Drosophila melanogaster: one gene and its partner. The protein of the gene in region 2 interacts with the protein of the main gene of each other region in a pairwise test. Each region holds a gene or a part of one and is shown on either strand. Other genes may lie near its edges.

Evidence for each region.
Region 1: the proteins of CG13689 (region 2) and LKRSDH interact in a two-hybrid assay, tested with the Drosophila melanogaster proteins (one large-scale study listed by BioGRID).

The regions. Positions count from the first base shown.
Region 1 is NT_033779.5:7,790,335-7,798,991, forward strand, and holds LKRSDH (lysine ketoglutarate reductase/saccharopine dehydrogenase), read right to left. Parts: upstream 5,626-8,657; 5' UTR 5,501-5,625; coding exon 5,441-5,500; intron 5,320-5,440; coding exon 5,176-5,319; intron 4,435-5,175; coding exon 4,258-4,434; intron 4,193-4,257; coding exon 3,814-4,192; intron 3,750-3,813; coding exon 3,175-3,749; intron 2,997-3,174; coding exon 1,841-2,996; intron 1,782-1,840; coding exon 1,605-1,781; intron 1,543-1,604; coding exon 1,424-1,542; 3' UTR 841-1,423; downstream 1-840. Other genes in the region: Herp (Homocysteine-induced endoplasmic reticulum protein), read right to left, coding at 6,596-6,992, 7,063-7,398, 7,829-8,289.
Region 2 is NT_033779.5:600,423-604,983, forward strand, and holds CG13689 (uncharacterized protein), read left to right. Parts: upstream 1-2,390; 5' UTR 2,391-2,448; coding exon 2,449-2,584; intron 2,585-2,651; coding exon 2,652-2,917; 3' UTR 2,918-3,140; downstream 3,141-4,561.

The DNA of each region.
Region 1 (8,657 bases), 7.2 Mb from region 2:
GAGAAGCGGAATGCGGTTGGCTAAATTAAATAATCGGTTTGTCCGCCGCTCTCCAGAACACGCAACACGCAAACAACAGTTACTCCTACTGCACTCGTACAACTGGCGAAGAAGAAGAACCGGACGAAGAGACGAGCACGCAGACGTATATACGACCGCCCCAAAAGATGAAGAGAACACACACGTACTTTATTCCGGACGGACCGGCGTCTGAATGGGAACTGCGGACGCGGACTTATCAGGCCCGATGGCCCAGCGCTTAATTCGCGACGTCGACCGCGACTTGGGTTCCACAACAACGAATCCCAGTGCGCACCGCACACCAGTCATGCTCATTTGGCGGTTTTTTGGAATTGATCCGGGTTTCCCCAGTCCCCTCCGCCGGATGTTCTCTTCACGAACTATGAATTTTCCATGTTTCCGTTATTGCGTTTATAGCACTTAGAAAGTTTTAGAAAAAAACGTTTTTTAAAAGTAAAAATTTTCGTGTATTATTAAAGTGGAATCTAGCAAATTTCATGCAGAGAACAATTTCCCAATCCTCAAATCAGACCCCAGATAAGAAACATCTTTAAAAGAAAACCTTTTACTTACCGCAGAAGTAAATGTACATTACTTGTTTAACTACGTGTAATTGGCATCACTAGCCCGCACAATCTTATCTGCAAAAAAGATTGTGTGTGTGCTTTGCATTGAATGAATGTGAATTAAAATTTGTAAAACGCGAGATTGCGCGCTCCCACTCCATGGGCAACTAAATTGCTGCCCGGCAGAGAGGTTATCAGTCTCGGGCTCCACATTTTCCACAGTAATTCCAGGGAGATGTGTGGCCTGTTTGTTGTTTATTACAATTATAAACGTTAATGACCGCCTCGCAAACGGATCCAATCGGATCACCAAAGATGTTTTATGCCGCACTAAATATAGATTGAAATCGGGTTTCTTCATTTAAAATTAGTTCAAGTTCGGATGATAACCCTTCGCAGATCGGGTTGCCAGGCGCTACAGGGACAATCGAACGGAAATCGAATCTTAAAGATTAAATCGCACGGAAAATTGGAATACACGTTTATGATCATAATCAATGTTGTATATTCCAGGCCTTCTATATCTTTAAATACAATCCACTTATACAGTATTATTATTTTCCATAAATATTTAATCACTTACAATCAGGCTCGTAGTGAATTCACGTTAAGGAAACATGTTTCACAATTTGGACAACGACTTCAACTTGTTTACGTACGTCAAGTAGCTCTAGTTATAAAACTTATTTCAGTATTATGATAACGTAATGACACTCTTATCAAACAACGAAATACCCGAGCGATAAAACAAGAAGTATCACCCGACGCGGTGGGCAGTCAAAAAAGTAATATTAATGAAGACTTAAGCCTATTTTCTCGGGATCAGTTAAGATCACTTAATTTAGCCATCTGGAGGTTTCCGTGGCAGTCAGACCCTCGGAGCGCAGACGTTGCAGCATGGGACGATAAATGTCGGGAGTGAAGGGCAGCAGGACGCCGCGTTCCTGGATCTCACCTGAAATGGGATGATTTGGAATTATTTAAACGGCTTTTAAGAGTACTGATAAGGGAACCCACCGTCTAGGATCATTTTGGCTGCGATGGCAGCCGGCTTGCCCACAGTCATCGCCATGGCGGAGTGACCCTGGGGCTGTCCGTAGACCACAAAATTGATTCCACGCTCCTCACGACGACCATCGGGCCAACGGATGCCAACTTCATGGCGCAGCACCACCAGGTCGCGTTCATCCCGCTCTGTAAATGAATAGTATGATTAATTATAAAATCAGTTTAGAATTAAATGGTTAACCCACCGAAGGCAAGTCTCTTCGAGAGATAGTGACTAAGCGTATCCAGCGGAGTGTTGAGCTTCACCACAGGAGTATCATCCAGCAGACCCAAGCTCTCGATGCCGTCCACATCTCCAATGCGCTCAGTCAGCTTCTGCTTGAGGTTCTCGTAGAAGATGGTCGAGTCCGACATGCCCATTAGATGGATCACCAGCTGGCGCCACGTGACATCCGGCCCACTGGGATGTAGCAATGCATGTGGCTCCGGATCGATAAGTCCCAAGAGCTGCATAGGCTTAATCGATTCCGAAAAGCCCTTATAACGTATGGTTCCACGAAGCAAAGTGTGCACATCCCTGCCTAAGCCGTAAAGGTTGCCGTATTTGGTGGAATCCCTGTTGGGGAAACCCTCCAGGGCGAATCCTGGCAGGAAATCCAAGCTGCGAGGACTTGACATGAGTTCCCCACCTCCAGAAATCTCCACAATTTGTCCCTGACTCAGATATTTTGCAGCGGAAAGTGTGTTGAGAAGTACTCCCCTGGGTGACCAAGAGAACTTATATCTTAGGGCATTATTGGAATGCTCCGGTGCAGGCAGACCGCCACAATAGCTCACGAAGGACTCGACAACTGCTCCCTTGTCCTGCACCTCGTGGATGCACTCCAGTGCCAGAAGGTGATCGATACCAGGATCCAAGCCCACCTCGTTCATGATGGTCACACCCTTGGCCTTGGCCTCCTCGTGCAAACCGGAGATCTCGTCGTTCAGATAACTTGCGGTAACCATGTGGGTGCCCTCTGCCACGCAATAACGTGCCACCATGCCATGGAGACTGTAGGGCAGCAGGGAAACTACTACATCTGCCCTGCCGCACAGCTCCTGCAGATGACCAGTGCTCTCGTTCACATCCAGATAGACGCTGTCCACTCCAGCATACTGCTGAGCCAGGCGATCGGCTTCCTCCTTGACCTGCGAGCAAACCGTTATGCTGACGTCCTTTTCGCGATGAAGCCACTCTACGAGTGGAGCGGACACCATGCCAGCTCCCAGAACCAAGACCTTCTTGTCAGACTCCGAACTTCCCTCCATCTTGTGGCGCGATCTGTGGCTTTGCGACTCTCGGAGCTCCTGAATATACTGGAAGCCCTCCGTCAGCTGACCGTTGCTGGCGATAATAGCCTGAAAACGAGCAAAGAGAAACGGAATTTATTAGCTGATAACAGATGCTGATAACAAGGCATGATGCACATTGGTTTAGGTTAAGAAAACAACTCTTCAAAGCGTAAGTTACAATATAAATCATTAACTTTAGGTAAATTTATAAATGTAATATAAAGGTAAGGCAAAGTGAACTCACCGACTGAATGGGGTATGAGAAGTTCTCCTCTGCCAACGGCTTCTTGGCATCGCTCTTTATAATATCATGAACATGAGGAGCCAACAGCTCTCCAAACAAATCCGTCGATTCTCTGGGCAATTGTGTAGGCATATTATCAATCGAACAGACTAAAACTCCGGGTCCCTTAAAGCTCTTGGTATCCTTATTCCTGTCCGCATCGTACAAGCAGAATGGAGTGTCGATGGTGGTGCACTCGTTCATAAACTCAATGGAGCCACCGGGATCAGCGGAAATGTCGCAAATGGCCAGCATGCGATGTGGCAAAGCCGGACTACCCTTGCTCGTCGGCAGCCAGGGAGTGTTTGCCGGACGTAGCAGATTCTTGGCATCCGGAATGCTGATCAACTTGGGACTGCCTACGGCCCAGTAGATGCCGTTAACAATAACCGATGCGTACGGAGCTATCTTCGTGCTAAAGGTGGAGATGTATCGTTCGGGGAACTCATCGTATTCCTTGGCATCAAATCCGCCGCCCTCACGACGCTCCAGATGATCCGATCGGCTCACCTCGCAGCCGTAAAGCTTATTTTGATCTAACGTTAAATACAAATTGTAGTTCATTCAGAATTAACTAATGCAGGATTCCACTTGACTCACTTCCATGTTCGGCCACCTTGCGTAGCATCTCCGGTGGAACATACTCAATGGGCAGCTCGGAGAACACCTCCTGGGCACCTTGGGAAACATTTCCAGAGCCAGTGAACACAAATGTAAGTGGTCCAATGGACTTGGGCATCATGCCAAGCGAGATCTCGTAGCCACAATCCCGGATTGCCTGGCGAGCCATCGAGGAATTGCGATAGTTATGAGCGGGTCCAATGTGCATGAATGGTGTATGATGTCCCAGGGCCAAAAGACGCAGTCCAATGCCGTGCAGGATGTTCACCATGCCAGCCACTCCGGCATATTTGCCAAAGGCCACCTGTCGTGCTCCGCGTTCGTCGATGATTCGCTCATAGTCGATGAGCCGAATTTTCTATGGATAAAACAGTGGCAATATAATATGAAAAACTTCATTTAACTCTTATGTGTGATAGGAACCTTCTCCAAAATAGCATCCAAAAGCGGCATATTTGATTCCTGCGCTTTAATCGTGTGCGAAAAGAAGCAGTAGGTCTTCCCAGGAATCAGTGCATCTATGGGCACCTGTTTCACTCCGAATATCACCGAAGCATCACTGATGTCCTCCTGAATATGAGCTCCAGCCTGCATGTAGGCCTGTTCCGGAAAAACAAATCAACTCAATGTTATTATTTGTTTTTATTTAGTTAAGTGCCCCGCTTATCTATTCTATTCATCCTGCTACGTGGTAATCTTTACAATGCATCAGGCGAAAGATGATGATTGTACTATACACGTGTGAAACATTTAATCCCCTTGCCCCTCAACTTAATTAAATCTGATTAGGTTTTCTAATTTTTTCCAGTACCATTTGCTAATCGTTTTGTAATTGCATTTACTGTTGGGGTGTGTCAGTGGGGTACTTTAAATTAAGTGCTTTACCTTCTTCAAAAATTATTTTAGTTAGTTTAGTTCTTTCTCACGTGACCCTTTGAAAATGTTATCAACTCTAAAAATCACCTTAATACATTATATAGATTCCTTGAAATCATTGCTGCAAACGATAAGCTTTGCTTCCCATTGTTTTTCCTCTCCTCGTCGTTTGTTTTGTACTCGATTTCAAGGCCGGGCCAATTGCCAAATTTAGAGCTCCATGGAGGCTTATCATCCGAGTTTATATTTATGATGCAGCACTTGGGGGGCGTGTGTGCCTCCATACCATATAAATACCATACTATGCTACCTATACACGCGTACTTGTTGCCCTGACGACTACCGACCGATATGATTTCCATGGGCGATTAGCCCTGCAGACTCAATAAATCCGTTGCCAACTGGCCATGGAAAGTTACAACCTATGGATAATGTGACGAAATTTTAATTTCAAATTGAGCTCACCTGCATGGGGTAGGCACGACGATTGGACGGCTGCACTATGACCTTGACATTCTGCTTGACCAACTTCTGGACGTGGGTTGGTCCAAACGGAGCTCGTCGCTCCCACACCGACTGATCCTCTCGCCGAATGGCAATCACTCGACTCTGAAAGAGCAAAAGATTGGGATATTTATTTAGTATATATATTTTAAAAATTAATATCTTTTACATTCGTATGAATGCGATTATTCAATGTGGCTGCAATTGGGGAGTTGAATCAACTCACATGACGTTGTCTGGTGAACGGATGCGCGATTGTTGCGCGCAGTTGAATCACTCGCCACATGTTTCGGCAGCTTTGTGGGATCAGTTCGAGCAGATGAAGTGCGAATTTAATTGTAACCGTTGTGCTTATTCTTGGCCTGAGTGGAATGATCCGATCCGTTGGCTCCGAGCTCTGGTACTCTTCTAAAGGCATCGATGGAGGCAGTCAGCGAAACAGCCTCTAATCAGCAGTTGGACCCAGTCGTAAATCCAGCGATAAGCCGTGCTCTCCATGCATCTCATCGCAGCTAAAAGAAACCAATTTTGTGCGTTAGCTGGGCAAAAAGAGCGAGCTGCTGGTGATTGTCACTTACCCGTGAGGGAATCCGGATCTCCGTTCGATTTTCGGCTGAAAATTTTCCACTTTGATAAGAGAAGTTTCTAAGAATTAAGAGAATCGTCCGGGGAAAATTCCTCAAGCGCTGTTTACACAATGCAATTCTTATACAAATTTTCGGGAAAAAACCGATTATTTCCTTATTGAATCATTCAAAATTGTTTAAAATAATAACATTTTAAATTTTAAAAATATATTTTTTAATAGTCAATATGTGTCTATGCATATGTTCATATGTCTATATGTTATTAAATTAAAGATTCTTTTAAGATTTTAAAAACAATGCCAATGATGTTGAAAACATTTAAAAACAGTATGTTCTTCATTTAAATCGTAGATATATTTTTTATAGATAAAATTGCACCTTGTAAACACCACTTTTCGATTTCGGTTTTTGGTGTTAAAGCATACGTTTTATTTTAATTGCATCTTGGTTTCATAGGTTCGTCTCTAGCACAGATTGCAGTGCAGATTATAAACATTCTACTATTCACATCAAAAACAGAGTACGTTCTTAGATATCTAAAATTCTACGAGCTATTGAGGCAGCAGTCACCATGTTGTAACTTGGCTAACACTCGGAAATAAATATACATGATTATTACAGCTAGTAAAACAAATTGTTTGTTTTTGCTACATTCTCAGGTATGCACAAAACTCAAAAGGAAAACGGAATAACAGTTTGATTATGGGAGTTTTAAAAGAGGAAAGCCGTAAAGCTGTAAAGCTGGTTTGTGGATGGTCAAACACGTCCCTCTGTATAACGTACAGTTCGATCCTCTAGAGCGCCGGCGCCTCGGGCAGCAGCGAGGTGAAGAACGTGATGACAAAGGTGCGCACAACGGAAATCACAGAATTATTGGCATTTGGTGGTTCCACAGCTTCCGCGGAAACGTCAGTCGGTTCTGGATTAGCAGCGGATGCTGGAGCAACGGGAGCCCCAGCCGGAGGTGCATCGATTGCATCTTGTTCACCAGCAGCAGCAGGTCCAGCCGCTGGCACTGCACCAGGCTCATTGGCCGCCTGGGGATCGTTGTTCTCCCGCTGCACGGCCGCATCCATCATGCGCTGAATTTGCTGCACTGCAGCAAAGGCGGCCGCATCGCCAGCATTATTGTTACGATTTATGTTGTTATTGTTCCGCTCGCGGCGACGTCGAAGGACACCAATGTGATATCTAACAAACAATTATAATTTCAATATATGTGTAAACTTTTCAATTCGAATCAAAGAGGAAATGTACTTACAGATAAATCGCACCCGCGATGAGCACCACCAGTAAACAACGCAGCGCTGAGGAGTTAAAGTACAGGACAGTCACAAAAATGGCCAATCGCGTAAAGCTAAAGAAACTATCCAGCCAGTCGTGCATTTCCGGTTCCTCCTGAATGTTGGGAAAATTTCTGTTCTGCGGCGCTCCATTAATCTGAGGATCAGCAGGTACCTGTGCCGCTGGGGCAGCAGCTGCTCCTGCCACTTGTTGTACCTCCCCGAAGTTTCGCCCAGCAATCAGTGGGACTGAGGGCAACAGGGGTTGAGTCGGTGGCGGCAAGCCAGATTGGTTCGAACCGGGCAACGTAGAACTGTGGGTATAATATAAGATTGTTGTGTAAGAATCATAGCATTCAATATTATAGAAAATAATTGTTCGTTTACATGCAAAACTTAATTGCGCACAATAAATTCTTCGGGAGCGACCCCAAAATTATATTATTTAACTGTAATCGTGGCCATACAAGTATACTACAATTTTAGCACGCCTGATAACCAAAATAATAAAAAGATTATAAATAATCAAGAAACAACTTTAAAAATGCTAAAACAGCATTTTGATCTCACTTGAATAATAAAGTACCTCTTAAGAGTGACTAAATACAAGTGTTTCTCCTTCTGAGAAAAATAAAATGTATTCGCTATCGAGCTCTGTGTAATTTGATTCGCTCGCTTCTGATATCAGTGAATTAATTGTTGGATCAAGTGTGTTCCTTTAGCCTTCTGGTTCTGTTCACTTACCGTAGAGTCAACTGCTGCATGTACTGCGCGTAAGCCTGCTGCATCCAGGCGTTGTAGATGAGCGCCTGCTGCTGGAACAAAGCATGGGGACTGGCACTGGCATTGGCAGCAGGTGCTGCTCCCTGGCTCTGCTGCCAGAAGTGTGTCCAGGGATTGGCCAAACCGATGTCACCCGTCACGTGTGGTCCAGCGTTGCCCTGCTGTGCCTGCTGCTGATGTGGAGCATGACGTTGTCGCAGCTCATTTGCATTCCCAGTGACCTCGGGCCCAGCTGGAACCGCATCCTTCTGCGGAACAGTGGGGGCTTTGGCAGCCGGCCTTATCACTTGCTTGCTGGCACACACCAAGTGAAATATGTGGTGCTGTTGGTAGACATCCTTGTAGCTGCGTATCACCTCAGATATCTTTTGGGAGTCATCTAATAGCTTGCCCGAGTAAATAAGTTTCTGGTCCTGGATTAACTACAGAAAAAATGGAAAGAAATAGTTATAGTGGTCAAAACATAAAACATAAAATTTCACATTATAGGTATTCAGAGGGAACCTAGAGATAACTCATTGTTGCTTTTACCTCCGCGCGAAATTTATACTATCAAACAGTGCCTAAATCTATTTATTTGCACACTCCAAGAGATAACAACTTGTACTTGTCAGTTGACTTTATGGAAATGATACTTGAAACTAAATAAATTTTTATAAATTCTACTTGATTTGCTCTGGAAATAAAGAGTGCTAATGTATTTTTTCTGCCTGCAATGATCTGAATCTTTAGTATATATCAGTGATATTGATATGTGGGATGTACATATGTACATAAAAAACTTGGCACA
Region 2 (4,561 bases):
GCCTGCGACAAGACCGCGGAAGAAAAAAGCAGAGGGCATGGAAGAAGATCCGGAGCAGGCAACTCTTTTGTTGGGCTTAGCACTAGTCCAGGTCGCATTTATTTTCAGGCTGCGGGAAAGCACAACGCCCGAACCACTCAAACGCCTCGACGGGACTCAATTGTGTTTGAGATCAATTTGCAACTTAATTGAAATCCATTTAAAGTAATGAGAGTTACTAACTTGTCCTGCCCCGACCCTAAATCCTTTCGCTACCCTCCGCACTTCATTGTTTTCCCATCAGCACCGCTTTTGCTACCCTTTACGGTGGCCGCAGGCTTTATTTTGATCCCGTGCTCAAGAATTATAATCCCACGCTGCACAGTAGTGGCCGAGATACAGATACCTGTGGCGGCATCCTCCCATCTTCCGATTGTTCCGATAGTCCTGATTGTCTTGTTGTCCTGCGGCCACATATCTATTTGCGAGCCGTGCAAATGCAAATTGTCCCTAATGTAGCTCAAGTAAGTAGCAATCGCCCAGTTCCCCGCGGCGAGGATTCTCCTTGGAATTCGAATCGAGTAGCCGAAATGGAACTGGTTCCGAATGGAAGAATTATAAAAAATAATATGTAAAAATTAAACAAAAGTCATGGTACCGTAAAAATTACACCATTCTATAGTTTAGAAGCTTATTTCATTGCTGTTTTCAACTATATATACTATATATTATATTCTATTTGAGCATGATCCGCCATCCTGACCAACGTCGTCTATAAGTTTATGCTCTCCAAATCTGAAATTATTTCAATGTAAATTCGAATTTCCGAACTAGTTTACTGGCACCAGCACACGTAGGAACCACTCGAATTAAAATCTTTTTTTGGCTTCGATGCGCGCAAAAAATATGCAAAATAAATGCGGGCAAAAAATCGCTGGCCAAGTCCATTAAAAGGGAATAAGTGCGTGCAAATCCTGGCCGCAGGATGTTTTTCATATTATCAGAACGCATATTACTTCATCGGAAATGAAGAGCTTTCGTTCCCCCCGCTAGTTGCCAAAGTAAACATGTGTGAATTGCTCGGGAAAAGTGAGGGATGATGGGCGGGATGATGGCCATGATATCCATATCTGTATCCGTATCCATAACCATAACCACGCGCCTTTTTCGCTACACTAAAACCGCAATACAAACACACCCACACCCACTTAAGAGAACGGAAAAAAGAACGAGGGGCACAGGATATGTTGGATGGAATGTACTGTGCACCACATTCAAGTTGATCCCCTTGTAAATCTCTAAATTGTTTTATGAACATATTGGCCGGGAAGGTGTAAACCTAATTTTCCTTTATGAACCGGACGAGGCAGGTAAAGTGGAAGTGCATCCATACCCGGACTTTTTGTTCCGGCTCAGCAGGATGCACTCCATATCAATGTGCTCTTTGTTTGGCCGCCTCATTTAAATCGTACCGCTGGCCAATTTGCATTCGCACTACAGCCAAATTGATCCGCCCTAATCCCAGTTTTAGTTTTGGTTCCCGAACTTCTTCTTCGCTACTTCGAGCGACCGACCGATCGACCGAGATTTATAAGCGCGGGATTTGAATTTGCTAGAAAAACAAAACTCCTCTGCCTTTTCCTCAGGCTTTAGCCTTAGCCCTGGTTTGGCTATGTTTCTGGCTGGGATTGGCTTGGATCTGGATTTCGGTCCGATCCGGCTTGGCTTCTGCTCTGGCTTTAACTTTGCGCTTGCCCTTTGCCGGGAAGGTCTGAACCAGAGTTTTGAAGTCAGTCGGTTGACCGGAAAAGGCCTTCAAGGGGTTGGCCGCGAGGGCAGGGAAATATAAGGGTTTTATCATTTAAGAAATGAAGAGATTTTGTTGGAATAAGTAATTCTTCAAAAATGAATAAAATTTCATTTCATTAATTTGCGGCATAATTTCATAATTATTAATTATATAAATTTTGTAATATATTGTATTGATTTTTAAGACAATTTTTTTTAATATGTATCTATGAGATTCTAAGTTAGAAACAATAATTATTATATCTAAAAGTAACATGGTGGCGCCATCTGTTGTTCCCTGAAAGCCCCTGTACTTAATTTCCGGTAACAGTAATAAGACGCCATCTGGAGTTCGCGTTGTTTACAATCTGTACACACACTGGAATTAACAGCTGTTACAGTCCGATAGACGATTATTCACATCACAATCTTAAACTGCTTTTAAAAAGATATTATTTAAAATTATTTACAAAGAAAACAACCAATTGCCAAATCAAAATTATAATGAATCATTATTAAAGCGCTTCATATGAACCAAAATATATAATTCTGTGAAGCGGTCGCTAGATTTCAGTTTCTGGCCACATTTTGGATAATTTGGCAACACTGCAATCTTGTTATTGCTTATGCTGAGAAGTAAACAAAAGGCGACGAATGTTTGTATTTTCCTAATAAAAGCCAATGGAGGATTGGAAATCGGAGGAAATGGCAAGGAAAAGAAACAGGAATAGGAGCAAGCAGCGCAGACGAAGGCAGAAAAGTGAGGGAAAGCCGAAGCCACATACATCTCGAGATCAGTGGAGCAATGTGGCTCAAAGTAACAATAATAGTCATTAATAAGTTTTTTAATAGTGTTAACCATTTAAAATTCCCTGTTATTGTAGTATACCAAAGCCTTTTTGAATGGCACCACAATCATGTTATGAGTCTCTGCCCTGAGGTTAATCCGAATCTGGATCAGGACCTTGAGGATATTCCCAAGGAAACAGGAACGTTTCACTGCCTGGACTACGTGTACGAGAGTTCTTCCGAGGATGAGGAGATCGAACCCATTGACGAGGGCTATCTGAAGTTCCTCGAGGTGACCATTAAGCATCAGCAGGAACTCAGGGATCGAAGAACTGCCCAAACCACCGACTCTTTAGATTAGAATTTTGGTAAAATAGGTTTTTACGCAGATGAAAACTTACAGTTCATTTTTATCTGGTAATGACTTAAAAATGTATCTTACGTAAAATGTTATAATTTAAGCTCAAGTTTATAGGTTTGGTATTTAGTTTTGGTAAGCAGAAAATGTACCTTTTATAGGGGATATTTTTATATGTAGCACTTTGTCTTGAACGTATTAAGTATATAAGATGTTTTGATAACTTAATGTTCATACTTAGCCATTCTAACTGAATGCCTCAAAGGGCTAGAATCAAGACCTGCGTAGGACGAAAAAGCAACTGTACTTTAATTCCCGGAACTCTTCAAGCGGGAGACAAGTGTCTGATATTCTGCTTTTCTCACATGGTTCTCCACTAATGAAGTTGTGCGAAGTTGGCAGTTTTTTGGCCAAAGGAAACGCACATTAACCCGACCAAGACTAATGCGATGTCATTTATAATCGCGCTGGGAGAACCAGAAGAAAGCTTCAAATTGGGGCATGACTAAAAAGGGAGAGGGGCTTTTGGTAGGATGGAGGACCATTTGTGGGTCAGAGACAATGTCTGCTGCTCGTGTGGGCGTGGCAAGTTGGGCATTAGCCAACATTTTTCGGCACTTTTCAGCAGAAAACCTAATTAAGACGTCCGACTCTGAGTGGCAATGGATTTTCTTGGCTTACTTATATCCCCCATCCTCTCTCTCCTGACCAAGCTCCTCCGCCCCACGGAGCTCGTTTCCCACCTGCTCCTCATTCTCCACTGAAATCACGACTGGCGACGACAACTGCGAACGACCTTTCTAATGCCCGGCCACTGCATAAATCATGGCCCAAATGGCGGCCACCTGCAACCGGCAGCAATAGCAGTAAGCCAACAGCAACTGCAAGTGCACTGTAAGAAATCGCATTGCTCGATAGTCCTTTATGCTCACATTTAATTCTCATTACTTCAAAATATGAGTTTCTCCCAGTCCATTTATCTTCGGTGTTCAGAAAACCATTTGTTGTTACAAAATTCCCATTCGAATTCGTTCAGTGTAGCTAATAAGGCTTTGCTTGCATCGCGAACGGAAACGGCAACTAAAACTTAAGCTAAAACTAAAAGCTAGGATAGGATCTGGGGAATCACAGTTGGACATTCACCGAACGGGAGCAATAAAAGTTTAGTAAAATTAAAATTGAGATTTCAATAGAAAGTTAGGCTCCACCCACCGAAGAGAAGAGAATGATAAAATCGAATAGAACAAAAAATTCGTTTCCCTATGAAAGAAAGCCATTCCACTAGAGGCAATAACTTAATATCGGCAGTAACTAGTTAAAGTAGTCATGGAATCTTCTTCTAGATGCTACTTTAAATTATCATACTGCTATACTTGAAACATCCAAGAAGTCATAGAAGTGGAATCCCGTGGAGCAACCACAGAAGCCACAGAAGTTGCCGCCCAAAATGGCTGCCTTGAGGGCCAGGCCCAGAGAAAAAGCGAGAGAGTGTGAAGGAGAAGCCTCTAATTAAATGGGTGTACCTGTTGAATATGGCTAATAACCAAAAGAGGAGGAGAAACGAAGGCGGCAACATGAGGAGCTCATGCGAAAACAAACTGGGCAAAAGGGCTGTGGCCACCTGTTGCGGCCTCTCTGTCTTCGGTT